Elephas maximus indicus: one gene and its partners. The protein of the gene in region 1 interacts with the protein of each later gene in a biochemical or structural test. Links are inferred from orthologs where the notes say so. Each region holds a gene or a part of one and is shown on either strand. Other genes may lie near its edges.

Region 1 (7,738 bases):
CGAAGAGCCTCCTGCACCTGTGTAAAAAAAAGTAAAACAGGAAGCAAGTCAAAAAGGCCTCTGATTAGTAACACAGTTCACAGAACACTTGAAGCCTCTTCACTCAGAGCACACAAGATCTTATTTTAAACATAATTTTAATAAACTCGGTGATCTGGTTTCCCAACCCACAACAGACTAGATGCAGCCAACTGGAAAACTGCTGGGGGTGGTGCTGCTAGAAGCAGGCACTCAGAATCAAAGCTGAAAACCTACAAATGCGGCAGAAAACCTCAAAGCTCCGCAGGCTGGGCCATTGGTATTTTGGTATAAAAAATACAAATAATTCCAGAGGATATCCCCAATCCTGCCCAGAACTACACTGGGTGTTCACAATGACCCCCTTTTGATACATTCATAGGTCAGGAGATTTTAAAAAGCATTTCAAAATAAAGTCCACCAAAAGCTTTTTCCAAAAAAGACACGGCATTTAAAGGACTGCCAAATTCATAGAACACTATTTTCCTCTGTCAAAGAAACAATATAATGAATTCCTAAAGATGCCAGAATGTGAAGTGTGTTTTTCTCAATAAAATTTTATTAGAACCCAGACGCAGCACTTCATGATATCTAAAGTTGGGAGTGTATTTAAATAGAAACATTTATTTAGAGAATGATAATTAAGAAGGTTCAAGGCCAAGATTAATTATTTAAGCCAAGAAAGGCTTTTGGGAATTCCAGTGTAGATAAATTACTGGGGCTGAGAATAAGATAGACCTGATCTTATCCATACCTAATAAGTAAGCCATTCGATTTAAAATTGGTGCCATACAAAAAGTTTGGGGGGGGGGAATTTCTTTTGTTTTCATAATCTTATTGACTGGTATACCAAAAATAAACTTTTTTTTCTAATCACTGGCAGCCTCAGAAATCAAGCCATACTTTAATTATACAATGGGGGGGGGATTTAATATTGCATTTTAAAAGTTCAAGTTATCATCTAAACTTGATTTTCCTCATTAAAAATTTTATAAGGGTATGTTTTAGAGAAGATCTATTCTGGAAAATATGAAGTAATTAATAACAAGCCATATTATTGGGCACAAGTTTTATTAGAAGATTAAAATATATGTTTTGAGTCAAAGTGTTATTTCCCTCTCGGAAAAATATACACCAATAACCTCAATAACACATATCAGTCACTGTAGAGATTAACAGCTAGATTTCTTGATCCATAAATTATCATACATTTTATTCACTCTCTCCTCTTCAGGTTGTAAAAGAGCACAATCTTCTACAGGTATAAACCAAGTGCCATCTCAAACTGATAACTTCCCGGTTAGACTCTGTAAGATACTAACTCCTAAAGCCTTCAAAATACGTATTTCACTTTGACAGCCATTCCTCAGTGTGCTCCTGTCCCTTAAATGATTCTTTCAGACATCTGCTTAAGATTCAAACTTCTTTTAACAAACACCCTGCCTCATTTTAGCACAAGATTTACTCTGTCTGAAGACTGCCCTTTTTCATTTGTTAGAAATCAAAGAAGTCAAAAGAATTTGGTAAGGATCTAACCTAATTTACAGTAACAACTGAGATTAATTCCACATTACATTCAAGGTCTCTGATCAGGAATTAAACAAGGGTTGAGGTGTTTAACACATCCAACTATCTACATCTTGACGGTTTAAGGCAAAGTTCTCTTCCTCTGGCATCCATATCCCATGGTTCAAGATGAATAATCTCAGTATCTATTTCTTACCAAGTAGCTAAAGGTTCAATACTGCCTTTCTGAATAGCCATGTGAATCACACACACACAAAAAAAAACACGCCAGGGGTGCCTCCCCACTGCTAAGGAAAAAAAACAATAGTGTCTGGCACTAAAAGGTTACAATATTAGAGGGGAAAGAAAAAACGAAATTTTAACCTAACCCCCACTCTAGATGGTAGTATTGGGAAAACCTCCTTAACAGTAACTGAATGAATAACCCTCAACTTTTTAAAAAAAGCAAAGAAATTCTACTAGAAAACTTAGCAAAACCCCTTCTAAATTAAAAAGTTCTCTCTAAACATATCTCCTAATTTAAGCATTAAAGCCCATCTGGTGAAAGGACTGTGTGATAAGAACCTTTGTGTAATTTCTCCAATAGTCTTCAATGTTCAGGTTTTTACCTCTACTCTTGCCAATTTAGTAGCTTTTCTATTAGATCCATTCTTGAAAAACTTAAGTGCTAGTTTCTGACTACATATGGCAACCCCAATGTAATAAAACCCTTTCCCGCTACTCTTCCTCCCTTAGAAGAGACACATTTTTTCCCTTCTGAACTTCCTACTCTAACAATTTGTCGACGAGCAGTGTAGACCTAAGTCTGAAGCCGCCCAAGAGGTAGTGAACTGAAAACACGCTTGCGGACAGGGCTAAACTGATTCCTCCCATCTCTCCGAGATATGGGCCCCGAGCTCAGGCGGTTTTGTGAAGGGAGCTAGGGCAGGTACGGGGGGCAGAGATGGGGTGAGGAGCCCTTCCGATCTCTGTCGATGGGACCGCCCAACGCCCCAGCCCCCCACCTCGGCCTGGACGGACAATGGCTCTCAAGCCCAGCAGCCCCAGGCCGAGAGGCCCTGGAGCTCCATGCCACGCGGGGCCTGGAACGGCGACCGATGAGGAATGCTGAGAGGGAGAGCGCATCTCCGGCCTAAACGCGGGCTGCGCGCCGGGGCCTCCTCAGGCGCCATCACTGGGAGTAGGGTGTGAAGGCCGCCCGGCAGGGCCATCCCCAGCAGCCAGGGCCGAAGAGGCCGTGAGCCGGCGGAGAAGACGGCTGGAAGTGCAGGCCGCAGCCTGCTCAGCCAGCCTGACCAGCGGCCCGTCGCCACAGCCGAGCTCCGGTCGCTCACCTTGTGGATTCTCTTCAGAGCCATCGTGGGAGGCGGGTGGCGGCGGCCCCCGGGGCGGGGACGGGGGCGGGGACGGGGACGGGGAAGGGGCGAGGGGATGCGAGGCCGCCTAGGCGATCGCGGGTCGGCCGCAGAAGACCGGGAGTTCGGCAGCGCGGGCCCGGCCGCACGGGCTGAGGGCCGAGGCCCACTCGGCTCCTGAGCCTGCCGCAGCGGTCACCGCATCACCCGGCGGCGGCTCCTTTATGCGCTGCCGCTCGAGCCGCCGCCGCCGCCGCAGCTGCCTCTTCCTCTTAGGCTCAGCGCCGCCTCTCAGCCGCCACGGATCCCTCCGCCGGAGAGCAAGAGCCCAAGCCTCGGGTTTGGCAGGCGCCTCTCTGCCGGACAACCGGAGAGAACGCCTGCCTTCCTGCCTGCTGCAGGTGGACGGAGGGACGCGCGGGCAGGCGGGCGGCGCCGCCGGGGTGGGGCCGCCAGAGCACGGGGTGGGCCCAGGCCAAGGGATAGATCGGGAGGCTCAGGGATTGGAGGACCAGGGCAGAGAGGGCCGGGCCGCGCCGACGGCGGAGGGATACGGGTCGCCCTTGTAAGAATCTTGCGCGCCGTCGCCGACGCCGCCACGGCCGTCGAGAGGATGACGCCACGAAGCGCAGGGAGGGGATCTCGCGATAGTTGAGGCGTGGATGCTGGTTACTCCCGCGTCGCGACCCTCGAGTCTCTTGTGTCTGGTTGCCCGCCCGCGTGTCATCGAGGTTCAATAAACTTTTAAAGGCGAATTTTTCCAGATCGCTTGACCGTCCTCGTAGTAGTTCCGGGAGAAGGCATTTAGGCCCATTGCAATATTCCTGGTAGAGGAAGAGACTTGTCCAAGGTCACATAACTCCTCAGCGGAGGATCTCTTCAGATCCCTATACGGAAGCCGAGTGGTACCCGCCTGGGCTTCTGCCGGGGATGAGGTTCCTTGTGCATGCCATGGGCAGCGCAGGGATTGGCCATTCCGACCAAGGCCCCAGCTGGAGAGGGCTTGAATGTTGCTCTCTCCTCAGGCACTGGCATGTCAGCCATAGGAAAGGTACCCAGAGCTGGCCTGCGTGTTGAATTGTATAAACAAACACTATACAAATTACCTCAAAAAACATGCACCGTGTGTGTGCTCCAGTAGTTAAAACCAACCTTGTGCTTCAGATGTCCATCAAAAGTGCCCACTGATAAACAAGCCTAGAAAATCGATTGTGGAGTTGCTTTTTACGAGGTGGAGCCAAAAAGCTAATTCACTCAGCCCCTCCTACTCTGTGCCTAGCTCTACACAAGAACCAGAGTTAGAAACAAGCCAGGTCGCGCCTGAGAGGTGCTCATCTGGCTGAAGACATGGGAGGATGGTAAGGAATACAGTAATTTCCTGTGATGCCCATATTCTCAAATCCGCACCGGAGTTTCCTGATTCTAAGTCTATGTTCTTTCCTCCACATCTGGAAAAGACCTTGAAGCTCCTTCATTGATTCTAATACCTGAATTTAGAGAGGAGAAAACCGGATCCCAGCTTAGCGAAGGACCTTGCCAAAAATCACACAGTATGTCAGTGGCAAAGCTCACACTGCCTCACCTGCTGAGTAGAAAAGCTTGGACAGCTAGGGCAAGGCCACCGTGGACCCAATGAGTGAAAGAAGGGAAAATCTGTATCCAGTCGTCCCGGGTAGACGAGTTTAGTCGCTCGAGTTTGGGGGCGAAGTGAGACATTCCACAGCCCCAGATCTTTTATACCTGAGAAATGTGGTGCCCAGTGGTCATATTTAAATTATTTTCAATGCTAACTTTTCTTGTATTAGAAAAGTAATATATATTTGTTGCAAGAAATACAGATGAGCAAAAGGAAGAATATAAAAATCACCCATACACTCACTGTTAAAATATTAACCACTTTTGCCATATTGGTATATGTCCTTCAGTCTTTTTTCCTTATGTATTGTCTTGGTTTCCTAGTGCTGCTATAAGAAAAATACCACAAGTGGGTTGCTTTAAAGAACAGAAATTTATTTTCTCACAGTTTAGGAAACTGGAAGTCTGAATTCAGGGCGCCGGCTAGAGGGGAATGCTCTCACTCTGGGCTCTGGGGGGAGAGCCTTGTCTCGGTTTCTTTAGCCCAGGCATTCCTCCATTCCTTCTCAATCTTCACTTCACCCTGGCGTCCATCTTTCCCCAATTGTGTTTGCTTGTCCTTGTGTCTGTGTTGTTCCTTATAGCTCAGAGCTGGTTATGTTTAGGACACACCCTACACTGATATGGCCCATAAACAAAGAAAACCCTATTCCCAAATAGGATTACATCCACAGGTATAAAGGTTAGGATTCCAACACATGCTTTAGGGGGACACAATAGAATCCATAACATGTATAAAAATACGTTTTTTTTTGAAAAGTGGGATTGTACCATAATACTATTTTGCAATCTGTTTTTAAAATAGATGATATATCATGAATTTTCCCATGTCAATAAACATTTTTTACCATATTTTAATGGCTATGGGGTTGCCATGAGTCAGAATTGACTCAAGTGCAACCAATAACAACAATGTATTCTGTCGTAAATGTACCGTAATTTAACTAGTCACATTTTTTGACATTTAATTTGTTTCCACTTTTTGCTACTAAAAATGATGTTGTGATGAATATTCTGTAGCTAAATCTTTGTACAGTTTTAAGTGCTACTTTAGGAAGTGAAATTGCTGGGTCTAAGAGTATAGAGATTTTTTCACCTATATTCACGAGGGATACTGGTCTATAATTTTCCTGTAATATCTTTATCAAGTTTTGGTATCAGGGTTATGTTGGCCTCATAAAATGAATTTGGAAGGGTTCTGTCCTTCTTTATGTTCTGAAACAGTTTGTGTAGGGTTGCTATTTTTTCTTCCTTAAGTAAATGATTGGTAAAATTCACCAATAAAGCCACCTGGCCCTGGAGTTTTCTTTGGGAAAGATTTTAATAACAAACTTAATTTATTTAATGGGTGTGAGGCTGTTTAGATTTTCTTTTTTTTCTCATGTCAATCGAGAATTGGTGTTTTTCAAGGAATTTGTCCATTTTATTTGTTCTCTATTAGAATAACATTACTCATAATATCCTCTTGTTTTTTTTCCTTTTCCTATCAGTAACATCTGTAATGATGTCCTTTTTTGTATTCCTGATGGTGTGTAATTTATGTTTTCTCTATATTTTTTCTTGATAAATCTTGCTAGGGATTTATCAGTTTTAATAATTTTTTCAAAGAGCCAAACTTTAACTTATTATTTTCTCTATTTGTCCATTTTCTATTGAATTGATTATTGCTCTTATTTTTATTATTTTCTTACACTTACTTTGGGTTTAATTTGTTCTTTTTAAATATTTTATTGTATTTTTGGTGAAAGTATACACAGCAAAACATGCTTCCACTCAACAATTTCTACACATATTGTTCAGTGATATTGGCTACATTCTTCTTCAGTTGTGTCAACATTCTCATTATTTGCATTCTAGTTGTTCCATTCCCGTTAACTTAGTCTCACTGCTTCCCAACCTTCTCAGAGTAACTGTTGACCTTTTGGTCTCATATAGATAATTTTTAAAAGAGCACAGTATGCAAGGGAGACTTTGTTTACTTTTTGAGCTAACCCGCTATTTCGTTAAAAGGTGACTCCAGGGAATAGTTTTGGTTCAAGGTCTAAGAGTATCTTAGGGCAGTAGCCTCAAGGATTCCTCCAGTCTCAATGAGTCCAGTAAGTCTAGATTTTTTGAGAATTTTGAAGTTCTGTTCCACAGTTTCCTCCCTTTCTATCAGGATCCATCTATTGTGATCAGAACATTTGGTAGTGGTAGCCAGGTCCCATCTAGTTCTTCTGGTCTCAAAGTAGAAAAGGCCATGGTTCAGGGAAGACAAATTAGTCCTGTAGGACTGGCTCCTTCTCTGATTCTTGTGTTTCCTTCTTTTTCTTTTGCTCCACATGAATAGAGAGCAATAATTGTATGTTAGATGGCTGCTCATAAGCTTTTAAGACCCCAGACACTACTCACCAAACTAGGATGTAGAACATAAACTTTATGAACTATATTATGGTAATTGACCAAATTGTCTTGCAAGACTATGACCCTAAGTCTTCAAACCAAGAAAACTAATCCTGTGAGGTAATTGGTTACGTCTATGAAGTATCTACATTTGTAGCCTTTATTTGTCTATATATATATTTGGTTGTTGTTGTTGCAAAATTATGTATAACATTTACCAATATATCCTTTTTCTTGTGTATAATAGTATCAGTTACATTAGTCAATCTGTATACTTCACCCGCATTCAGTACTGTCTTTCCCATCACAATAAAGAAAAACTGACTGCTATCTAGAGAGTGATTCCCCCTCTTCAGCATCCCCTACCCTTTGTAACTACCAATGAACATTGTACCAATGAACATTGGTCTCTGTATATGTACCTATACTTGTCATTTCATAAAAGTAAGATCATACAATATTTGTCCTTTTGTGATTGACTTAGTTGGCTGAGCATAATGTCCTCCAGGCTCATCCACATTGCAAGATGTTTTAGGAACTAATTTGTTCTTTTTCTAGCTTCTTAAAATAGGAACTTGGATCACTGATTTTACATTTTTCCTTTTTTTCTAACATAAGCACTTAAAGTTACAAATTTCCCTCTAAATGCTACTTTTGCTGCATCTCATAAATTCTGATATGTTGTGTTTTCATTTTCATGCAGTTAAAAGTATTTTCTAATTTATTCTTTGAACAAGGGTTACTACAAATACTTCAGAATTTATTAATCATTTCGTTGTTGTTAGGTGCTGTTGAATCAGTTCTGACTCATAGTGACCCCA
Region 2 (7,813 bases), on another chromosome or scaffold:
TAAAGTTGTCAAGGATTTCGTTTTACTTGGATCCACAATCAACACCTATGGAAGCAGCAGTCAAGAAATCAAAAGACGCATTGCATTGGGCAAATCGGCTGCAAAAGACCTCTTTAAAGTGTTGAAAAGCAAAGATATCACCTTGAAGACTGAGGTGCACTTGACCCAAGCCATGGTGTTTTCAATCGTGTCATATGTGCGTAAAAGCTGGGCAATGAATAAGGAAGAGTAAAGAAGAATTGACGCCTTTGGATTGTGGTATTGGCGAAGAATATTGAATATACCATGCACTGCCAAAAAATGAACAAATCTGTCTTGGAAGAAGTACAACCAGGATGCTCCTTAGAAGCAAGGATGGCGAGACTATGTCTCACATACTTTGGACATGTTGTCAGGAGGGATCAGTCCCTGGAGAAGGACATTACGCTTAGTAGAGGGTCAGTGAAAAAGAGGAAGACCCTCAATGAGATGGATTGACACAGTGGTGCAACAATGGGTTTAGGCATAACAATGATTGTGAGGATGGCGCTGGACTGGGCAGTGTTTCATTCTGTTGTACGTAGGGTCAGTATGAGTCGGAACTGACTCAATGGCATCTAAGAACAACTACATATATATGAAATAAAAAAATGAAAACTATATAAAAGAAAAACAACTATAAAATATCCAATTCTATTACTGAATATATAACCCAAAGAAATTCTCATAAGGGTCCTGTATGAAGGTATTTATGGCACCTTTGGTTTTGGTTGTGGGCAGTTGGAGGCAATCTGAGTGTTCTTAACTACAAGAAGTCCTTAGGCAAAACGTGTTGGATGGAGTACCATACAGCAGTTAGTAACAGACCAGATTATTTTATATGATTATCGTTATATATATATAACATATGTACATATATATGTACCACAACATTTGCTAATTTAACATTTTTCTTGTGTACTATTTAGTGACATCAATTATGTTAATCGTGTTGTGCAATCATCACCAATATTCACTGCCAAATTTTCTATCACCATGAAGAGAAACTCAATGCTTCTTAAACAATTACTCCCCATTTCTCCCTCCCTCCAGCCCCTACCTCTTGCTGTAGAGTCAATTCTGATTCATAGCGGCCCTATAGGACAGAATACAACTGCCCCATAGAGTTTCCAAGGAGCCCCTGGTGGATTCAAACTGTCAACCTTTTGGTTAGCAGCTATAACTCTTAACTACTGTGCCACCAAGGTTTCCCTCCCACCCCTGGTAACCACTAATAAACTTTGATCTGTATATATTTGCCTATTCTAGATATTTCATAAGAGTGAGATCTTACAATATTTCTCTTTTTGTGATTGACTTCCTTCACTCAATATAATGTTTTCAAGGTTGATCCATGATGTGGCATGTATCAGAACTTTGTTGTTGTTGTTAGGTGCCATCAGGTCAGTTCTGATTTATAGTGACCCCATGTACGACAGAACAAAACACTGCCCGGTCCTGTGCCACCCTCACAATCTTTGCTATACGTGAGTCTATTTTCACAGCCACTGTGTCAATCCATCTCTTTGAAGTTCTTCCTCTTTTTTGATGACTCTCCACTTTACCAGGCATGATGCCCTTCTCCAGAGACTGGTCCCTCCCGATAATGTACAAAGCTACACGAGATGAAGTCTTACCATTCTTGTTTCTAAGGAGCATCCTGGCTGTACTTCTTCCAAGACAGATTTGTTTGTTTTTCTGGCAGTCCATGGTATATTCAATATTCTTGCCAACACCATAATTAAAATGCATCAATTCTTCTCCAGTCTTTCTTATACATTTTCTAGCTTTTGCATGCATATGAGGCGATTGAAAATACCATGGCTTGGGTCAGATGCACCTTAGTCTTCAAGGTGACATCTTTGTTCTACAACACTTTGAGGAGGTCCTTTGCAGCAGATTTACCCAGTGCAACGCGTCTTTTGATTTCTTGACTGCTGCTTCTATGGCTGTTGATTGTGGATCCCAGTAAAATGAAATCCTTAACAACTTCAATCTTTTCCTCATTTTTCATGATGTTGCTTATTGGTCCAGTTGTGATGATTTTTGTTTCCTTTATGTTGAGGTGTAATCCATACTGAAGGCTGCAGTCTTTGATCTTCATCAGTAACTGCTTGAAGTCCTCCTCACTTTCAGCCAGGAGGTGTGTCGTTTGCATAAGGCAGGTTGTTAATGTGTCTTTCTCCAATCCTGATTATTTGTTTAGCATACAGATTGAATAGGTATGGTGAAAGGATACAACCCTGATGCACACCTTTCCTGACTTTAAACCACACAATATCCCCTTGTTCTGTTGGAGTGACTGCCTCCTGGTCTATGTGCAGGTTCCTCAAGAGCACAATTAGGTGTTCTGGCATTCCCATTCTTCGCAGTGTCATCCATAATTTGTTATGACCCACACAGTCAAACAGCTTTGTGTAGTCAAAGTCAGCCCTTTATTAGTACTTTAATAGTGAGAGAAATGGTCAAGTGTTCTTTGACCCTCACCCACATCCTGCAACATGCATCCGTGTTTCAGGAAAACCTCAGAGATGTCTCACGTGTTGACAACGTGCTTGTGAACAAGTATGGTTATATGGTATTGGTGGATTAGTTCATTCTCTCCTGCTCCAGTCCTCCCATTTGGTGTTGCTATTTTCACTGCCTTCTTTAGGCAGTTATTTTCATTGGGTTTCACTTTGTATGACAGGTGCTTTGGCCTTTCCACTGGTGATGCACTGGAGTCGTTCAGTTGCTAAGGCTGCACAGTGTTATCCTGCGATGTAGCTGTCTTGCTGCCCTTTTGAGTTTACATACCATTAGAAGTTAATCACTGTCTGACAGTTTTTCATGAAATAGCTCTTTCAGTATTTTCTTATATTCTCCTCCCCTACTCCCCCAAATGTGCCAGCCAAAATAGGAGATAAATACAAGTAGCAGACATTATACTGAGCTTAAAAATGAAATGGGCAATTTGGCTATCTTATTTTTCCTTTGCAGATCTTTGGAACTCAGTTTTTGAAGGACATTAGCAATTGTATATTGGTGATTCTGACTTCCTGCCTTCTGTGGAGGAGAGTGAGGGCCCAGAAAGAAACCAACTTAACCAGGGTCATAGTTCTTTGCTCCTTCCCTTGTGATCCCTCTCTTCAGGAATGGCACCACCATCAGCTGGTTGCCCAAACCAAATATCCAGGAAATCCTGAGTCCTTTGGTCTTAATATGATCTTAATGTCTTCCCAATCCACTTTTCCCCAACCTGCTGCTCATCCTTTAGTTCTTAACTAGTTAAGAGCTCAGGCCACTCAACCAGGTCGGCAGTTCAAATCCACCAGCCACTCCTGGAAACCCTATAGGGCAATTCTACTCTGTTGTATGGGGTTGCTTTGAGTCGGAGTAGACTTGGTGGCAATGGGTTTTAGGAATGTATCAGTGTCCTCTAAGGAGACTGTAAACGCTGTGAAGTCCTGAACTATATCTTTGTCTTCGTCCCCCCACTGTTTAGCATTGCTGATGACTGTTAATGAACCATCATGTTAGTAAGTGGCTGGGTGGGATTTGAAATGTCTGTTTTCAAAGATTCACCTATGCATCTATTTCATAGGGCCCAGCACTGTGCCTTCTCAACTTGTGTGCGTGTGCATGAAAGATGTACTCAGTCCCCAGTTGGTGGCTGCATGTGGGGAAAGGCTGAGGACAGCAGTTTATCGAAATAGTCTACCTAGCTGCACCCCAACCGACATGTCTGTACTTACAGGCAGCCATAGCAATTGCCTGCGTTTATTTTGATCCTCTGCTGCTTTTATATGAGAATCAGAGAAAAATGAGGAAAGGAAGTGGTTTCGGTGATCAACATCACATCCAAGGAGAGGAGAGTGGTCACGGGTTCATCAATCCGCAGAATTCTTCCCTCATAGGAAAACTGTCAGCACAGCTCAAAAGCCTTTCCTCATTTCACAGCCTCGCCCTCTTCTGAGATTAGGCCCAGCTGGGTTGTATGGTTTCCTGTAAGTCTTATAACAAGCGTATTTACAAGTGGGAAAGAAAAACGAAAAACCAGGAAAAGGGGAGACAGGCCGAGCTGGTCCCCGTTCATTATGGGTCTTTAGGACTCAAGGCAGTAGCTCTCTCTCGTTTCTGCCTCTCCGGATGCGCGAGGACTGATTTGTCACTGAAACACGGCCTGTGAAGGGAAGGCAAGAGTTTCTTTCATAAGTAGCTAAAAGGGAAAAACTTTGAGGAAACAGCCAAGAGAGGGAGAGAAGGTTGCGGCCATAGAGTGGGGAGAGAAGCAGGGAGGACGAGGCAGCAAAACCGATGGAAAGGGAGATAGGCAGGCGGGCGGGCGGGCGGGCGTGCCGGCGAGCAGGAGGCACCCGGGAAGGGCCCACGGTAAAGTCGCGGGTGCAAACACCGGCGCCGGAGGCGGCCGCGCAGCGGAGTCCCAGGCAGAGCCCTGGCCTGCGCCGCGCGAGGCCTGGCCCGGGAGGCCCTCGCCGCGCCCCAGGGGCGGGCCGGGGGCGGGGCGGCCCTGGAGCCAGGCTCTCCCCGCGGGCGGCCCGCCCGCGTTCTCCCTGCCTGGGCGAGCGGCCGCAGCCGAGGATGCCCCACGGCGCCGCCCGCCCAGCCCGGCAGCCGCGGCTGAGGAGCCCGCCACCCATTGGCGGCTGCGGCGCGGAGTCCCCGCCCCCTTCGCGTCCCCGCCCCCTCCGCCGCCGCCGCCGCTTCCCGGCTCCGCCTCCTCCCCCTCCGGGAGCCGCCTCCGTCGCCGTCGCTGCCGCCACCGGCCGGGGCCCAGCCAGCGCCCGCCGCGCCGGAGTCGAGTCGCAGCCGGAGCCGCTGCCCGCGGCCCCGCCATGAGCGGAAGCGCTGCCGCCGCGGTCGCCGCCGCCGCCGCCTCAGCAGCTGCCGCCGCCGCGCACTTCCAGCCCCAGTCGTCGTCTCCCAGGCCGGGCCCCGCCGAGCTCGGGCCCCCGCGCCGCCCGCGCCCCCCACCGCCGCCGCCTCGACTCGAGCCCGCCGCTGCCGGCCGCCTCAGCCCTCCGGGACACGGGCCTCTTCGGGCGGCCGCCCAGGGTGGCGGCGCCTGCGGCCGAGCGCCGGGAGCAGGTACGGGGTCCGGGAGCGGGCCAGGCGGGGAGGGGCGTGGGCTGGCCTCCGGGGTGGGGAACCCGCGGGCGTGTGGTCCCGGCGCCCAGCCCCGCGGAGGGGGTGGAGCGTTGTCCAGGTCAGCTTTGTCCGGCCCCGGAGCCCCCGTGAGCCCTGCGTCTCTGCCGCGGCCGGCGGCTCACAAAGCGCTTACCACCCTCTGGGCAGCCCCCTCCCCCAGGGTGGGCAGGGCAGGACTTCTCTAGGTCTCCGCTAGGCGGAGGAGGAAACTGAGGCTTAGAGGGGGAAGTGACTTGCCCAAGGTCACTAGACGGTGAGAGTTGGAGCCTGGCTGAGACCCAGGGCCATCCCAAGCAGAGGAGTCTGGGAGGATGCAGATCCCCCAGGCTCCGAGAACCGAGAGAGATTGATCCGGGAAGAAGGGGAGCTAGGCCCTGCCTGGTCCCAGGCACACCCACCCAAGCCTTTTTGGGATTGCGGGGTGGGAGGGAGGAGCCGGGGGCCGTTTGGGGAGCTTGGTGGTGCCTTGGGGAGCCGAGTTGGAGAGCTGCAGAGGGAGAGACCCCGGAAAGGGGTGTGCTTTCGTGGAGAGGGAGAGCTTGAGTGAGTGGGGCAGAGCTTCGGAAACTTCTTGTCGTGGAGACCGTTTGGTCTCCGCCAGGCCCGCCTTCCCCACCGCCGCGCGGACTAAACCAATTCCTCTGGAATTAATGGGAGAGAGGCCTGCCTGCTTTTGTGGAGAGGCCAGTAATGTGTCCTTTTCACATAATGGCCCGAATTTTGTCCATGCCAAAAGTACACATGGCTCTCCTAAAGGCATTTATGTCACAGAAGCCCGTATGAGGCTTTTCCAGGTGGTCTGGACCTACCACACTTATAGAACCCCCAGAGAAAGAACAGTTTTCCCAGGCGTGAAGGGGAAGGAAGCTAGCTAGGAGGATTGGGGCAAGTCACCCGCCTGCTTGGCATGTAATGCATGGGATTTCCGTTTCTATTTGGGGTGGGTGATTAGGTGGCTTTTTACTGTGGATGCATTTTGGAAGGGGAAGGAGCAGAGGACTTACAGTTCTAGAGCAACGTGTAATAGGCAATGAAGACGGTTGTGTGGGGCTGGAAGATACAAACTGTAGAATGTGGAAAAAGGAGAGGGTATTCAGTCATTGTGGGGGGAGGGAGATGAAAGGAGTGCTGAAGGGAGGGGACAATGTCTAGTCTAGAGAAAAAGATTGGGATGTTTCAGTGAAGGAGGGAGCCAGCCGTTGTGATGCCTTTGAAAGGAGTCTGTTAAAGGTGGATGTGTCTTACAAGTTGAGTAATCTGGATTGGTGTGAAGTCACTTCAATTTGAGTAAGGGCAGTTGTCATACTTTTATAGAAACGTTCTGGCTTTAACACCCCTCCTCTTCATTCTCTCCTGTTTTGAGACTATAGGCCCAAAGTGTCTAGTATTGTCTTGGAAGTAAAGCTTGACAAAAGAGGGAAGGGAAAGACTAATTAGCAAATGCATTAATTAGGGCCCTTTGTCCAAGATAATTCATTGTTTAAATCAGGTGTTTTCTTGCTGCCCTCTTGCACCTCAGCTTTCCAGCTGTGGTGACTGCTGGCCCAATGCTTTGGGAAGATCTGCCCTGTTACAGACAAAATGGGTTAGATTTTTCTAAAAAACTGTAAGAAACATTTCTCTCTTGTGCACACACAACACACATGAAAGAAAATGTACTTGCCAAGGACTTATAATCAAGGAAATGCAAATTGGAACAACAGTGAGATACCATTTCATAACCATCAGATTGACAGAAATTAAATGCTGTGATAACCCCGTGTTAGTAAGGTCATGGGAAAATAAACTTTTATATACCGTTGCTGGGGATGTAAATTGAGACAACGGCTTTGGAGAGTAGCGTAGTGATGTCTAGTTGAAGGTGGGTAAACATATTCATCCTTCCCTCCCTGTTTTTGAGTATATACCCTAAGAAATCTTTGCACACTCATCCAAGAAAATAAGTAGAAGAAAGTTCATTGATGCTTAGATGTCCACCAACAGGGCAATGGATACATAAATTGTAAGATAGTCACACAATTAAATGTTATAGCATTGTGAAAAAATGAACAAACTATGGCTTATAGCTGCAAGCATCAAAATGTATGAATCTCACAAACAAAACATGATATGGGGAGGGGGAAGCAAGTCCCGGGAGAATTCATAAAAAATGTTTCCGTTTGTATAAAGTGTGAAAACGTGCAAAATAGTATTGTTTGTGGCTATATACATGTGCAGTAATAGTATAAAAACATGCATAAAAACAACTAACACCAAATACAGAGTAGTGATTATCTCTGGGAAGAGATGGGGAGAAATGGATTGGACAGGGGTACACTGAGGGCTTCCATCATACCTGTAATAATCTATTACTTAAAAAATCTGAGTCAGATACAGTAATTGCAAGTAAGATTTGCTAATGTCAGGTACAGAGATATTCCTTATGTTATTCTAATTTTTTTTTTAATGTTTTAAATATATCTCACATAAAAAAAAATTTCTTTTTTATAGAGCACAGGGTTTTTGTCTCATAATAATGAAACTACAGCTACAGGCCCCAGCCCAACACAGCCTGGCAGGCACGCAGACTAGTGATCCTTTTCTCACCCTTTCTGACCTGCTAAGCCTAGTTTGCTATGGATGACTTTTTTTTTTTTTAGTTGTGGTG
Region 3 (7,252 bases), on another chromosome or scaffold:
GGGTTGGACGACGAGGTTTCTCTGAGAACTACAGGACGTGGAAAAACCTCTGCGAACAGCACAGGTGCCCCTCCCTCCTGGGGCCCTCACCTCCACAGTGTGACAGGGTGAACCAGCAGCTCCAGGCAAAGGCCACCCCCGTTCAATGTCTTCCCACCTATCAAGTAAGAGAGGAAGGATTAGGATTGGCAGGGACAGAAAAAGAGCAGCCAGGCTCCCTGTAGCTCAAAAATGCCCCCCAGGATTACTCTTTGCAGCCCCCGCACCTGCCACCTTTCAGACACTGGGGCCCTGCCCAGGCCAGGCCAAGCCTCCAACAGTGGGACGAATGAGTCAGGTCTAGTTCTACACACAGTTCTATTTTATTATGGCAAAGGTGAGAACACCACCTTCCCCACAACAACAACCAGTAAAGTTTATCCCAAAAATAAATCAGTACAAAACATGGCTGCTTCAGAATTTAAAAAAAAAAAAAAAAGGAAAAAAACCTTTACATGAGTTTTTAAATCCTATTTTAAAACACAAAAGAAACAAATCCACCATTGGCTACCCAGTTCAAGGCCCGCACCCTCCCACCCGCCAGGGAGCACGGGCGAGAGACGTCTGGGTCCTATTCCGTGCACAGATCCATGGGTCTGTTTAGCTGGTGTCCATCTGAAACAGAGAGAAAGGAAACATTCTCATTCAGAGGCTCCTGCTTCCTGCCACTCTCTGGGTTGCCCCAGTCCAGGTCTGTGCCCCAGATGGCTGCCTGCTTCTGGACCCTCACCCCAGGACTTACCCTGGCGTTATAAGCATCCAACTGGGCGTCCAACTCCTCTGCTGAAAGCTGCTGCTTTGAACTCCTGCCAGTTCCTCTGCCTCGTCCCCGGCTGCCCCCACGGGTGCCTCTCCGGGCGCCACCGCCACCGAAAGCTCCAGAGCCACGGTTTCTAGTCATGCCCCCTCTGTTTATACTGGCAGAAAGAAAAGAACTTGTTCACATCCTCATAATCCCTCAAGAACAATGTTCCCACACATCACAGGCCACCTCACCACCTAGCGGCCCCAGACTCACCTCTGTGTAGGTCTCCGTTGTGTGTCAATCTGTGATGTGACCAGCTGGATGTTCATGGGGCGACCTGTGGGAAAGAACACAAGACATCACATTCCAGTCCAGATGCCACCATACCCTGGGGTCCATGCAAAGACTGGAAAGGGTCTCTCTGTGCCTCAAATGCTGCCAACAAGGACACAAGCATGAAAACACTGGTGGAGAAACAAAAACAACCCCACCACACCTCATCCTTCTTTTCCTGTCTAGGCAGGTGGGCTGTCTGGTAACCTGTCTGGGGTTCTGGTGGGTAGAGAGGTGTGGGTGACCTCACAGAAGAAGGACCGGTACCTTTGTCTTTACGACTACAGCCCCGCACTCAGAGGTGTACTATGGCAGTTCTGAGAAGGCTTCACAGAAGTGAATCTTCCGGAAGGAGCTGAAGGAGGGGAGGGATGTAGCTTGCTGGATGGGGGTTCACAAGAGGTTGGTCCCGATGTGTGGGGCAGCATGAGAGGTGGCAGAATGGAAGAGAGAGACAAAGGGGCAAATGCAAAGTGTGCTCAGCCACGGGGAGGGAGCCACATTTCTATATGACAGGTACCAGCCCCAGTGCCACAACGTAGGATCTGGCCCCTCTCATCCTGGTCCAGGCTGATACTCACCGTCCAATGGCACGCCATTGTACTGTTTCATCGCTTTCAGGGCATCCGCCTTCCGCTCAAAGTGCACGTCAGCGGTTCCTAAACTCCGGCCAGACCGGTCATAGTGCACTGCAGCCTTCTTTAAAGTTCCAAATTCAGCAAAGAGTTCCTGGAAATCAGGAAAAACAAATTAACAGAAAAGCTGTGTCCCAAATACAGTTCCTGCAAGTGTGATCTGCTCTGGGGTGTTTCCCTGGGAGACAAACATATGCAAGACAAGGTAGCGGGGATGGGAACTGGGGCGGGGGGGGGAGGGGGCTGGCAGACAGCAACTTCCTACAGCAGGTGGGTCTGAGGGCCCCTGTCGGCGTTGGGAGTGGACATCGATTTCATGAGGCAGGTGAAGGAAGTTGCAAAGTCCACTATGAAGGACACAAAATTAAGTCACGATTATCTCAGACCAAGGAGACGTCCAATCAACAGCAAAGGCCATGATCACAGAGCAAGGGAAGCTGTCCACACAGTGGAGCAGCCTGGAGGGCACTGACGGAGGAGCCCTGACCCCAGCCCTCCCCCAGGCAGGTTCTGGCTCACCTTTCCCTCTCCTCCTACTCAAGCCTGCCGCAAAGGCTGAAGTCAAGCGCTGCCATGGTAACTGCCCTGACCTCAGGCAGGCTGGGAGTTGGAGAGGGAACCCAGAGAGTGGGGCTACTCCGGCCGCAGGCACACAGCGGGAAGTGGAGTTCACCAAAAGCGGTTTCCAGTGGATGCCAGAAACCACCTTAAAAAAAGTGTTGAGACACTGTGAGTGCTCACCAGCCTTGCTCTGTCCTTCCATGGCAAAGTCACACGGCTAGACTCTGGGAAATTGAACCCAGAAAGGCCCAACACCCTGACCTAGACATCTGTAAAACTAAACCCAGAACTTACTCCTTAACCAAAAAACCAATTTAAACATATTTGGGATTCAATTAAAAAAAAAAAAAAAAAAAAGCCACGGGCTTTGACCAAACACGGTTTGAGAATCATGCCACAGATGAGACGTGGCGAGTGCTGACAAGTGAGACCAGGTTTACAAAAAGCTATACAATAGGACAGGACTCAGGCAAACATGACAGGAAAAACACTGAAGGAAGATCCTCCCGCTACACTTCATTCGTTTTAGCAACAAATTTTCTAAATCCCAAATCATCATCATCAAAATCAGCACAAAATTAGAGCAAGCAGCGGGGTCTGTCACTGATACCTGAGACCCATTCACATTTTAACCAATCCTTTCCCTGCTACAAGTTGGAAGCTCTAGCAGGGGCTCATAAGGCTCACAGAGTGCGTTTCAGTGCTCAGAAGTAGCTCCTCAGACTGACACAGTCCTATCTGCAAGCACAGACGGGCCTACTCGTGGAACTGTCAACTTCAACACAATCACTGCTTGACACTATGTTCAAGCTACAAAGTGGCCGCTAACACGGGCACAAGGCGATCCCGTGGTTAGCTGGGAGGGCTCACTTTTCTAAGGTGGGAAGGGAATTCGGGGCCACATTTCAAACTGTGCAACTCTGCTCAACGAGAATCTCACGTTCCTTACCTGAATATCAGCATCCGACACTCCAAAATCCAGATTTGACACCAGCAGTTTCCCACCGGTCTCCACGCCAGCACCGCCCCCAAAGCCGCTGTCGAAAAGGTCGTGTTGCCATTTGTCTGGCAATTGTTTCGGCTGAAGGGGACGAAAAACCCACAAAAACAGAAATAGGCCCGTCAATCGCACTCCAGGCCTCGCTCGCGACTACCACAGACCCTCTCTCCTCCGGGTCTCGGGGGCCCCAGCTCCGGGGGCTGCCGTCGTCCCAGCCGCAGGCCCCATGGTCCCGACGCGGCCACACAACTTCTCAGTTCCTTCAACTAACTTCCCGCCGCCGTCGCACCCAGCGCACCCTCGGCTCCTGGCCGTTACGAGGCCCCGGGGCCCGAATAAGACAAACGACCAGAGAAGGTCTCTGTCTCCGGTATCTGCCCGGGTGGCGCGCCCTCGCCCCCGCCCACACCTCGCGGGCGCCGGCACCCGGGTCCGACCGCTCCTTCGACCCCTCTCCGCCCCCGGGCCCGGCCAAGCCGCGAGCCGCTCCCGCCCGGCTCACTCCCGCCGCGTCCCCGGAGGCTGGCTGTCCGGCTGCCCCCTACTCACCCGGCTGTACGGCGCCGGCCGGTTCCTGCCGCCGCCGGCTGCGCCGCGGGCAATGGCCGCTCGGTTCCTGATGGGCCCGCCGCCTCGGTTCACTCGCGCGGCGCCCTGCGCTCCGCCGCCGCGGCCGCCCTGGGAGCCGGCCCTGCCGCGGCCCCGGCCCCCGCCGCGGCCGCCGCGCTGGCTCCGGTTCAGTTTGATGATGTCGTCCAGAGACATGTCCATTTTGTCGGCCATGGCGGGCGCAGAATCGGCCTCGGCTCGAGCCCGCGCGTCAGCACGCCGTAGCGTCACTTCCTTCGTCGCGCGGGGCCTTCTGGAGCCGCGGCCTCGGAGCGGCTGCTGATTGGCTGCGGGCGGGTGGCTGAGCTCACGGGGCAGGGCGACGCAGGCGCACTGGCGCGCAAAGCTCCGCGGGCGCTGCTCGAGAAGTGGCAGGCAGCGGCCGCGGTCGTTTTTAGACCTTCCCGCGCGGACGCCGGCGCTGCCAACGGACGGGCGGGCGGGGCCGCGCCGATTAGGTCGTAGAAGGTGCGCGGGTTGGACGGCAGCCGTTGGGGGCGGGGCCTGGGCGGGGCGCCCTTTCCCACGCAGCCCCGCCCTTTGCCGGCCTCGGGTCGCGCTGCGGAAGCCTGGGCTTGGGGGGAGGGGGGGCACTGGGGCGGCTGGGCTCGGGTTTGGGGGGCTTCTGAGGCGAATGGGCTCGGGAGGCCGGACTGGAGGGCGGCCGAGGTGGGTTCCCGACGTGGCCGGGGAGCTGAGGCCTGACTTGGCAGCGGGAACGCCGAGCTTCCTTGGGCGGTGACTGGGTCGTTACCTGCATTTCCCACCTCCCCGTCCACCCTTCCTGACGATTCATGTCTGGGCACTTTGTCATCTGGTTCTGTCGTCAGGTACTGGATTCACCTCGGGCTCAGCCCCGAGGCGGGTGGAGGCCCGGAGTAGACGCTTGATTTTTTTTTTGGAGTGGTGGGGGAGGATTTCTGGAGGTGAAAACTCACACCGAACTGGAATTTTGGCCTCCATCTGTAATGCCTAAGCTGGTGGCTCTCATTGTTTGCTAATCGCGTCATTTTAAAGAGTATTGTTTGGCATAGTTTTACAGTTCTCTAGTGGGAACCAGCAGACCCTTTTATGAGCTTCAAGGTATAACTCGAGGTCCGTGAAGGCGTTCTAAATGTGGTTGGCAGAATGGAACGCTGGACAGACTCACGCTGTCCTAAGCAGGATCTGAGGCTCCTCGGGTGCTGAGTCTTCTTCCTTGGAGATGGGTCTCCAGCTTTCTCCTTTGATTCTAAAAGGGATTCCTAGTAGATGTTTCTTGACAGCGGAGTACCACCTCTGTGCACCTTTTCCTGCCCTCTGAGTGGAGCTGCACCCCATTTGCCAAGCCACTCACAGCAGTGCTGACCCTCTTGGATAGGGCAAATATTCCTTCTTTGGTGCCCAAATGTTCCAGCTCTGCATACTAAATTTAACAAGGTAATCCTCTTCCCCCTAGCCTGAAGGCTCCAGGCCATGAAGGTGAAGATCAAGTGCTGGAATGGTGTGGCCACTTGGCTCTGGGTGGCCAATGATGAGAACTGTGGCATCTGCCGGATGGCCTTCAACGGCTGCTGCCCAGACTGTGAGTACACCCCTGCTCTGTCATGAGCTCTGTCTGCTGGCCTTTCCTAGTAAATACCTGCATGCAATCTCTGGGTGTTAATATCCCGTCCCTGAAGAAGAGCTGACATCTAAAAAGCCAGGCAGTTTGGGCCCATGTTTGTATAATCCAACCCACGGTTTTGAAGGAAAAAGCATGCAGCCTTGTGATGTAATCAGACTCAGCTGTAAAACACACAGATCAAAAACAGGTGTTAAAACTTTTTATTTGATCGTTTTCAAACAGACTAGAGTGGTATCAGCACACACATACCCATGTAGCACATGGTGTTGACAGGTAATGGTATTTTACCACTTTTGTTTCACTTTTTTGCTGAAGTATTTTAAGGTAAGTCATAAACATTTTGATCTCTCACGTCACACACTTCAGCCACATCTTGAAACCTGACTCGCCAACTTCTTCTCCAGAGACAGCACTTTGGTCACTTCTGACAACACAGCAGTAATCCCTTAGTGCCGCCCGGTACCTCCTCCTTGTTCAGATCGCTCTAGTTTGTCCCCAGGTGGTTTTGTACGGCTGAGTGGTTTGAACCAGGATTCCACATTACATTAGGATGCGTTTACTCTTAAGTCTCCTTGATCTAGAGCAGTTCCGTCCTTTTGGGGCAGGCAAGAGCCTAGTATCTCACTAGAACTTGATTTCTTCCGGTGAAATTCAAGAGATTGGGTTTCAGTACAAACAAGATTTTATTCCAGGCTTGAGCTCTTCGTCTGCCTGGCCAGAAGGAGATCTCATCACTTGGGATTAACAAATCCTGATCCCATCAGGCTGGAGGGATGGGATTTGATGGGATCGTTGATTGACTGTCCTTAATCAGGCTGTGTTGTTGATTGTTGGGTTCAGTCAATTCTGACTCATGGCAACCCCATGTGACAGAACTGCCCCATAGGGCAACCTAGCAGATCACAAGGCCTTTCTCCCGAGAAACTGCTGGGTGGGTTTGAACTGCCAGCCTTTCAGTTAGCAGGCAGGCAGTTGACTGTTTATGCCACCTGAGTAGCAAATGAGTTTAGTAACGGAATTTCTAGAGGTTTGGTTTGATTTCATCTTTTTAAATCGCCCTTCATAAGGATGCCCCAGATACTGAAAGCCTGCAGGGGCAAGGACTTGCAGTTTCCGGAGCAAGGAAGGTGTTAACTTCTGCAAAGTCCTGGAAAGCAGCTTGAGCGAACGTGTTGTGCCTGTGCCTAGGCTAGCTGGGCATTGGTGTGTCACTGAGTCTGTGTTAGTGGTGGCCCCCCGTCCCTGCGCAGTGGTGGACGTGCACACGGCCTGAGGAACCTGGCCTGTGTGTAATCAGCAGGTCCTAGGACTTGACACCACCACACTTGTGTGATCCACTCAGATTGTGTTAAAATGGGGACTCCTTGCTGTAGAGGATAGCGACTGGGGGTCCCACCTGTGGACTGGCACATTGTTCAGCGACAGTGATCCCGTTTTAATGTGCAGAGTGTTTGACAGCTTGTCTTAATTATCTAGTGCTGCTCTACCAGAAATTGTACAAGTGGATGGCTTTAACAAAGAAATTTATTCTTTCACGGTCTAGGAGGCTAGAAGTCCAAATTCAAGGTGCCAGCTCCAGAGGAAGGCTTTCTGTTTCTGTCAGTTTTGGGGGAAGGTCCTTGTCATCAATCTTTTCCTGCCGAGGAGCTTCTCAGTGCAGGGACCCCAGGTCCAAAGGATACGCTATTCTGGCTTTTGTTCCCTGGTGGTATGAGGTCCCCCAT
Region 4 (7,231 bases), on another chromosome or scaffold:
GTTGGGCATGGATGTAAGCTACAAAGCCCCCCTCCCCAGTACACAGGCACAGGGAGAAGGCAGGGCATAGGGGCTGCTCTGACTTTTGAAATGAAACAACTTATAGTATAAAGCCTTGGGGACCTCCTCCACACAGATGCAAAAGCCCAGGGTAGAGAAAGGGGAGGGCCTGGCAGTTCTAGGGCCACAGCCACCTCTGTAGAAGAACAGCTCTGCGGTACAGTACTTCCGGGTCAGTGCCTTCCAGGCGCGGGTATCGCACCAGACTGGTTGGCTGGAACAGGTCTGCATTCAACCCTAGTTCCCGCTGCCTAGATGACTTGATCTTGATCCCTCGAAGACGCACGTCAATCCCATCGTCTGAGAGAAGGGGTCAGAGTGCACCTGCTATCTCCTTGGCCCCCAGACCTGGGAATGGCTCCTTACTGCTCAGCCTTTTGTCACCTTTAGCTCCTAGCAACTTGAGACCTCTGAGATCTCCTTCTACTCATTGGATTGTAATTTACTCGTTCTTGATGGCTCTTCTGCCCACTGCTATAATGTTGGGATCCCTGAGGGTTCTCACTCAGTTTCTCTCCCAAGTGAACTGCTATAGCTTCAAGGAATCTCCTTTAAAGCACTTACCACCCGACTCAGGCCCCTATGCCTCAAATCTTGGAGTTACTTCAGCCATTACTTTCACCCTAATTCCAAGCCCATCTCCTTTCCATGCCCAATGCCAGCTTGTCCCATCTATATACTGGCCCTTTTCCTTCCCCACAGCCCCAAGTCCTACCTCGGCACTCAACGATGCGGATCTCGATGATTGGGAGGTGGATGGTCATGTCCTCTAGGACACAGACATCCCCTATCAGGGTCCTAAGGAGATGGGTGTGAGTCACTTCAGACACTGTCCCCTCCAGACATTCAGGGATTGCAGGGTCCCACTCAATCTTAGCTGGGTCAGGCCCCATTGCTAGGATAACCACCCTCTCCCAACCCCCTGCCCAAAATCCCAGGCCAGCTCACTCACTCGTCAATGCTCACGTCACTCAGCTTCTTCAGGTTATCCCCTTCACCCCCATAGACCACCACCCGCTTAGGCATAAAGTTGTCATCTGTGGTATCCACCGTGAGTAGCAGCCTCCTGAGGAGTCAGAGTGTGTACATGGGTCTCTGTGTACCCAAATGCTTGTGGCTCACCCATCCTGCTCTGCCCCAGAGACCACTCACTTGACGATGGTGCCCTTCTTCATGGTAAGCCGTACCCAGTGCTGGCACTGGGATCCATCACTCTCCCAATAGGTGTCTGCATTGCTGTCTGTCAGGCAGGACACATTGAACTCTTCCTGGAGGGTCGGGGGAGAGAACAGAAAGATGGAGTGAGCGGTTACTCCTACTCTTTGCACTGGGCATGTGTGCTTTGGGCCAGGGAGCAAAAGAGAAAAAGCATGGTGGAGCTGGACTAATTGGGCAAGTAGCACGGAAGGTGCCTAAGAGGTCCCTATAGGGCTTCCAAGATGGGAGCCTAAACTGGGTCTGGCCTGTGGGGGTTTGGGTCTGGCCTTGGCCTAGAGATGGGGGGTCTGAACCTAGCCTTGAGGAATATGGCTACATCTTGCCTGGGGTAGGGGGAGTCCCAGCACCCACCGTGTAGGAGGAAACGTCTATGCTCTCCACATATTGCTTCACGCTACCCAGGTTCTCATCCTCCTTGCCCAGGTGGTCATACAAGAAGTGGATCAGGTCCTCGTCGCACTCGTAGGTCCATGTTGGGGGCACATAGCTAAGCAACCCCAAGCCCCTAATTAGGTCGGGCCCAGACCTGGAGCTCCCACCTCCCCATCATAGTGCAGTTCACTCACAGCAGCCTTTGTACAGCTTCAGTGTAAGCCTCTGCCGGCTGAGGCCTCGATCCAAGGCGGTGTGAGTATGTCAGGTCCACTACTTGCTCCCATCTGTGGGCACAGGGTGGCGGGGAGGGGTGGTGTGTGTGGGATGGGGATACATCAGCAAGCAGCAGGACCCCTACATCAGGTCCTGAAGTCTCCTTCCGAACTTCTCCAGACCACGCCCCCAGGGGAACCCTTCAGGTTGCACCCCTTCTAGCTTTTAACCTAGTCTCCACTCTCTTATCCCACCTCCCAGGCCAGTGGCTGACTTGTTTCTAACTCCTCCTTGGCCGGCTATCTAACTGCAAGTCCCACCCTTTCAAGTGGAGGACCTGAGCACTGGCCGGTAGTCCACACCGAAGAGCTGCTGCTGCCGCTGGAGGTGGTCGGGGGTGTCGATGGGCACTAGGCGGGCCCCGCCTTCCGCCGGGCGGCACACCAGCAACCAGCCTTCGTCCAGCCCGCATTCGCCCAGGTGTTCTGCCAGTTGCTCCTGTCAGAAAGGGCCAGACGGAGACAGCCGTCAGGACACTCCCCACCGGTCCGCCCAGCCCAGCCCAGGGCAAAGGACACAGAACGCAGCGTCGGCTCGATATGGGGGCGGGGCGGGGCGGGGAGGGGAATAACTTGGGGGTTCCCTGGCCCCGGGGGTCTTTTGCGAGGCCCCAGGTAGGCCAGGCTGCACCTTGGTCAGCTTCACCCAGAGTCCGTAGCCGTTGCACAGCTCCTCTCCCGTGGTGCGCACGCATGCGCCGCGCCGGAGCTCGATGCTGTCGCGGGCAGCGCGGAGAGGCCCGGAGCCCGTACTGGGGGCCGGGCCGGCGGCACCCACACGCAGCCCCAGGCCCTCCGCCTCCCACACCGGCAGTAGCACGCGCGACGGTCCCGCCGGGTCCTTGTAAAGCTTGTAGAGCACCTCGCGCGGTACGAAGGCCAGCGCCTCCGGCAGTGGCCGCCCCGCGCGGAGGTTTCGCGCTGCCTCCGCCAGGAAGCGCACGCGGCCCAACAGCTGCCTGGGGGACTCCAGCGTCGCGCCCGGGCTTGGACCTGCCATGGTGAAAAGGCTAAGGGAAGCCCAGGGGCGATCCCACGCCGAGAGCAGCGGCTGCAAAAGCTGCCCGAGCTTCCCACCACGTCCGGCCCCGCCTCTGGCCAGCCGTGGCCGTATATTCTGGCTTATGCACACCCACTTTGTTTGTATTGCCCTGTGTACTCTGAGCTGACAGCCATAATACTTACCCCCGCCTTTCCCCATGTCCCCTACCCAGCCAGTCAGACCCAAGTTCAGTCATTTTTACCTGATCAACCCTCCCCTCTCCATTCCCACTGCTATACTCTGGTTCAAGCCATAATTCTCTCTAGTCCGGATTATGGTAACTGTCATTTTTCTGGTCCTCCCGCCTCCTATCTTATTTCCCCAGCCATCGTACTACCACAAGAGGAATCTTAAAAACGCACGTTAGACCATTCGCTGCTAGACATCTGGCTTCCCATCTTAGGGGTAAAAAAACCCCGTTGCCGTCGAGTGACTAAAAAGTTTGGGAGAATGACTCCCATTCCATCCCTGTCTCTAGGGAGTGTTGAATCAATCTGTCTCTATCCCGGTTGCTTCTCCTATTCCCAGAACACTGGTGGCTCAGTGGTTAAGTCTTAGCTGCTAACCTGAAAGGTCGGCGATTGCTCCACCAGCAGCTCAGCGGGAGAAAGATGTGGCAGTCTGCTTCGTAAAGATTACGGCTTTGGAAACCCTATGAGGGCAGTTCTACTCTGTTCTATAGAGTCGCTCTGAGTCGGAATAGACTCCACGGCAATGGGTTTAACGGGTTGATAATCTCTATTCAGTTTCTCCCGGATGCCTTCATGGTGGGAAGGAAGGGGCAGAGAAAGATAGGCAGAAACTGTTGGTGAAGTACAGGAGGTAAAGGAAATTTTTGTTTTGAAGTAATTTTCACATAATTAAAGTTATCGAGAAAAAAATCATGTACTTTTGACAGCTCCCCATTTTTTCCTCCTAGGAAGTTGGAAACAGTGCCTCTCGTTGCTTCCCTCCAAACTATTTGTATGCTGCCGTTTCGATGGTACCTAACAACACACTTCTTCAGGATAAAGTGACCCAGCATGACCTGGACCCTGCTGGCATCTCCAGCCTCTCCTCTACCCTCCACCAGATTAATCTCCCAGTTCCTAAAAACAATCACATTTGCCCTTTCTAATCTTCCCTTTGCATATGCTTTTCCCTCTGCTTGGAGGCCGCTCCCCCACTTTCCCCCCAATTAGTTGCTTCCAGCTCTTCCCTCTTTAAACATTTACCATTGTGATTGTGGTTTCTCTATTTTTCCATCAGTCTAGCTCTATGAAGGCAGCGACTGTCTTGTTCACCACTGTAATCTCCGCATCTAGTATAATGCCTGGCTCTTAGTAGTGAATATACATAATTTTTTGTTTTTTTAATAATAATTTCAGTGCTCTAGTTCCATCATCCGCTGTATGCCTGGCTGGACCAGACATAAGATTGTTAGAGTCATGGAGAACGGGACTGAGAATGAGACTTGGGCCGAGCCTTTGGGATTTTCAGGCCATTTTAGGAGAACAAATTGCTCATGCCACCCTAAGCGTTTGCAGCTGCGCCGCTACGGCAGACTTTACGGTGAAGAAAGGTAGGGGTCCTACCGGCAGCTGCCCAGGCAGCCCGGGAGCTGTCACTGGAGTCTGATCATGTGACTTTCAACATGGCGACGCCCTTGGCTCACTCCAGGAAGAGGCGGAGCCTGGGCAGAGGGCGGGCTCAGAGTCAAGTGAACGTGGGTACTGTGCTGACATTTAGACGGCTTACCATGGAAGCGAAACAGTTGGGGTGAGTTCTCCGCAGCACCCAGTTGGGCCAGCGGGGCTTGTGACTAGAGTATCCTAATTTATGAACCTATCCCTTGACCCCCCCCCCCCCCACCCATGGTGATCTCCCAACCCGAACCCCAGTCGCTTGGATCTTGCTCCTCCCACCATGGATTCCTGAGACCTTCATCTCAGGAATCGCTTAGCAGTGCTGCGTCCCCCAGAGCTTCATTTAGGGGATGACCCCAGGATTTTCTAATCCTCAGCTAGGATCCCTATTTTGGGATCCTCAACTATAATTCCCCCTTGACTGTAACAGCCTGAGGCGGGGGGGCGGTCTCCCAGCCTCGGAGCCAGCTACTGGGACCCCTGTCCCTGAGATTCTCAGGTCCGAAGACCCCCAAACTATCTGGGCTTTCGACCTCTCCCTCCTCAGTCCCTTCAGTTGTTTTAAGCTTGGGGGAGCTGGGACTGTGTATAGGGAAGAGACCTCAGCACGGGCCCTTCTGAAGTCTTGTGAACTACCTGATAGGCAGAAGAGACGTAATGGGCGCGGAGCTGCGGGCTTGGTAGCTTGGTAGCTGGCCTGCAGGAGGCAGATAGCGGTTCGCCTAAGAACCCGCGCCTTCTCCCGCCTTCCCCATCCCCCAGCCTACCGTCCACGCCTACCCTACTCCCTGCACCCGTATTCCAGACCCCAGGGTTTTCCAGACCCCAGGGTTTTCCGGAGCTGAAGAATGACACGTTCCTGCGAGCAGCCTGGGGGGAAGACACAGACTACACTCCTGTTTGGTGCATGCGGCAGGCAGGCCGCTACTTACCAGGTCAGGGTCAGGGCCCGGGAATCTATGTAAAAAACTGCAGAGTGAAAAGTTTCTGAGGAGCGGGAGGCCTATGGAGGTCCTCAAGGCCGAGTCCAGCCTTCTCTCTCCTGCCTGCAGAGTTTAGAGAAACCCGGGCTACCCAGGACTTTTTCAGCACCTGTCGTTCCCCTGAGACCTGCTGTGAACTGACTCTGCAGGTGAGGGGTCCACAAAGGAGGGAGGGATTTCTTTCCTCAGCTTGCCACCTAGCAACCTGTCTCCTATTCCCTACAGCCACTACGTCGCTTCGCTCTGGATGCTGCCATCATCTTCTCTGACATCCTTGTTGTACCCCAGGTACCAGCCCAAACCTGATTCTGGAATGGGTAAAAAAAAAGGGGGGAAAGGTCCCTTGGAAGTCCTTCTATCAGTCTTGTCAGGGTTCAAGATAAGCACATATCCTCACCGAAGAGAGGAGGAAAACAAAGGCTGAAAGATACGGAGTTTGGGCCTGACTTCTCTCTTCCTGGCATAGGCTGGAAAGAACCTTTCCTCCTGGAATTCCAGGTTGAGAACCCAAAAGTTTTCTCCCCCTCCAGGCACTGGGCATGGAGGTGACCATGGTGCCTGGTAAAGGACCCAGCTTCTCAGAGCCATTAAGGGAAGAACAGGACCTGGAGCACCTACGAGATCCAGCAGCAGCAGCCTCTGAGCTGGCCTATGTTTTCCAGGCCATCACCCTTACCCGACAGCGGCTGGACGGGCGTGTGCCACTGATTGGCTTTGCTGGCGCCCCGGTAATGTGGGACAGTACAGAGGCTCAGGCATGGGGAAATCACTCTGGCAGGTCTGGTGTAGATAAGGGAAGAAGAAAAGTGTCAGTCTTCCTGTGACATCCTCTTTCCATCCTTTTGCAGTGGACCCTGATGACGTACATGATTGAGGGTGGCAGCTCAAGCACTATGGCTAAGGCCAAGCGCTGGCTGTATCAGAGACCTCAAGCTAGTCACCAGCTGCTTCGCATACTCACTGATACTCTGGTACCATATCTGGTGGGACAAGTGGCTGCTGGTGCCCAGGTGAGTCCTGAGGGGGAGACAAGTAGGCTGGGATTTAATCTATAAGGACTAAGCGGGTAGAGATCTCAGTGCCAGACATGTGGGGTTTTGGCCTCCAATGATCTGGCTGGAGCAGCTAAGCCCTCCCTGACACTGGCAAGAGGGGCTTGATGCTCTCTGTGTTTGAAGACCAAAGCTAGTGCTGGGATCTGCAGGAGAAGTCAAAACTTTTTGATTAGACCTAGGCTTATAGGTTCAAGCCGTATCAGAGGTTGAGGTCATGTGGGGAAAACTGAGCCACATTTTGTGTGAGAGTCCAGGGTTACTTCCTCTTTGTATGTTGCGTATTTCTTCTCACCCCCAAAACCCCCAACTGCAGGCATTACAGCTTTTTGAGTCCCACGCTGGGCACCTTGGCCCACAGCTCTTCACCAAGTTTGCACTACCCTATATCCGTGATGTGGCCAAGAGGGTGAAGGCTGGACTTCAGGAGGCAGGCCTGGCACCTGTGCCCATGGTGAGGATGGGAATGAGTGAGTGAAGGCAGGCCTGTGTAGCTTTCTGAGCAAGTCTTGCATGCACTGAAATGACCACTGGAGGGCAGCAGAGGTGCAGCTGAGAAAGGTTAGTGGGCATGGCAAGGCCCTCTAGCCTCAGAGAGCTGCCC

What was found.
Region 2: the proteins of UBE2D2 (region 1) and RNF38 form a complex in vitro, tested with the Homo sapiens proteins (3 studies listed by BioGRID). The link is inferred for Elephas maximus indicus from reciprocal best matches to the Homo sapiens genes UBE2D2 and RNF38.
Region 3: the proteins of UBE2D2 (region 1) and ANAPC11 form a complex in vitro, tested with the Homo sapiens proteins (11 studies listed by BioGRID). The link is inferred for Elephas maximus indicus from reciprocal best matches to the Homo sapiens genes UBE2D2 and ANAPC11.
Region 4: the proteins of UBE2D2 (region 1) and HECTD3 form a complex in vitro, tested with the Homo sapiens proteins (3 studies listed by BioGRID). The link is inferred for Elephas maximus indicus from reciprocal best matches to the Homo sapiens genes UBE2D2 and HECTD3.

The regions. Positions count from the first base shown.
Region 1 is NC_064820.1:152,721,948-152,729,685, reverse strand, and holds the start of UBE2D2 (ubiquitin-conjugating enzyme E2 D2), read right to left. Parts: upstream 3,004-7,738; 5' UTR 2,904-3,003; coding exon 2,880-2,903; intron 1-2,879.
Region 2 is NC_064827.1:45,364,349-45,372,161, reverse strand, and holds the start of RNF38 (E3 ubiquitin-protein ligase RNF38), read left to right. Parts: upstream 1-4,807; 5' UTR 4,808-4,853; coding exon 4,854-5,106; intron 5,107-7,813. UniProt on the Homo sapiens protein: Acts as an E3 ubiquitin-protein ligase able to ubiquitinate p53/TP53 which promotes its relocalization to discrete foci associated with PML nuclear bodies. Exhibits preference for UBE2D2 as a E2 enzyme.
Region 3 is NC_064837.1:71,681,223-71,688,474, forward strand, and holds the start of ANAPC11 (anaphase-promoting complex subunit 11), read left to right. Parts: upstream 1-4,250; 5' UTR 4,251-4,390; intron 4,391-5,360; 5' UTR 5,361-5,377; coding exon 5,378-5,486; intron 5,487-7,252. Other genes in the region: ALYREF (THO complex subunit 4), read right to left, coding at 640-654, 782-956, 1,058-1,121, 1,699-1,846, 3,263-3,394, 3,863-4,096. UniProt on the Homo sapiens protein: Together with the cullin protein ANAPC2, constitutes the catalytic component of the anaphase promoting complex/cyclosome (APC/C), a cell cycle-regulated E3 ubiquitin ligase that controls progression through mitosis and the G1 phase of the cell cycle.
Region 4 is NC_064821.1:87,411,174-87,418,404, forward strand, and holds the start of HECTD3 (E3 ubiquitin-protein ligase HECTD3), read right to left. Parts: upstream 3,011-7,231; 5' UTR 2,926-3,010; coding exon 2,557-2,925; intron 2,365-2,556; coding exon 2,204-2,364; intron 1,938-2,203; coding exon 1,845-1,937; intron 1,766-1,844; coding exon 1,630-1,765; intron 1,329-1,629; coding exon 1,213-1,328; intron 1,127-1,212; coding exon 1,013-1,126; intron 859-1,012; coding exon 776-858; intron 361-775; coding exon 195-360; intron 1-194. Other genes in the region: UROD (uroporphyrinogen decarboxylase), read left to right, coding at 4,706-4,725, 5,355-5,527, 5,645-5,724, 5,801-5,863, 6,106-6,303, 6,424-6,585, 6,944-7,081. UniProt on the Homo sapiens protein: E3 ubiquitin ligases accepts ubiquitin from an E2 ubiquitin-conjugating enzyme in the form of a thioester and then directly transfers the ubiquitin to targeted substrates.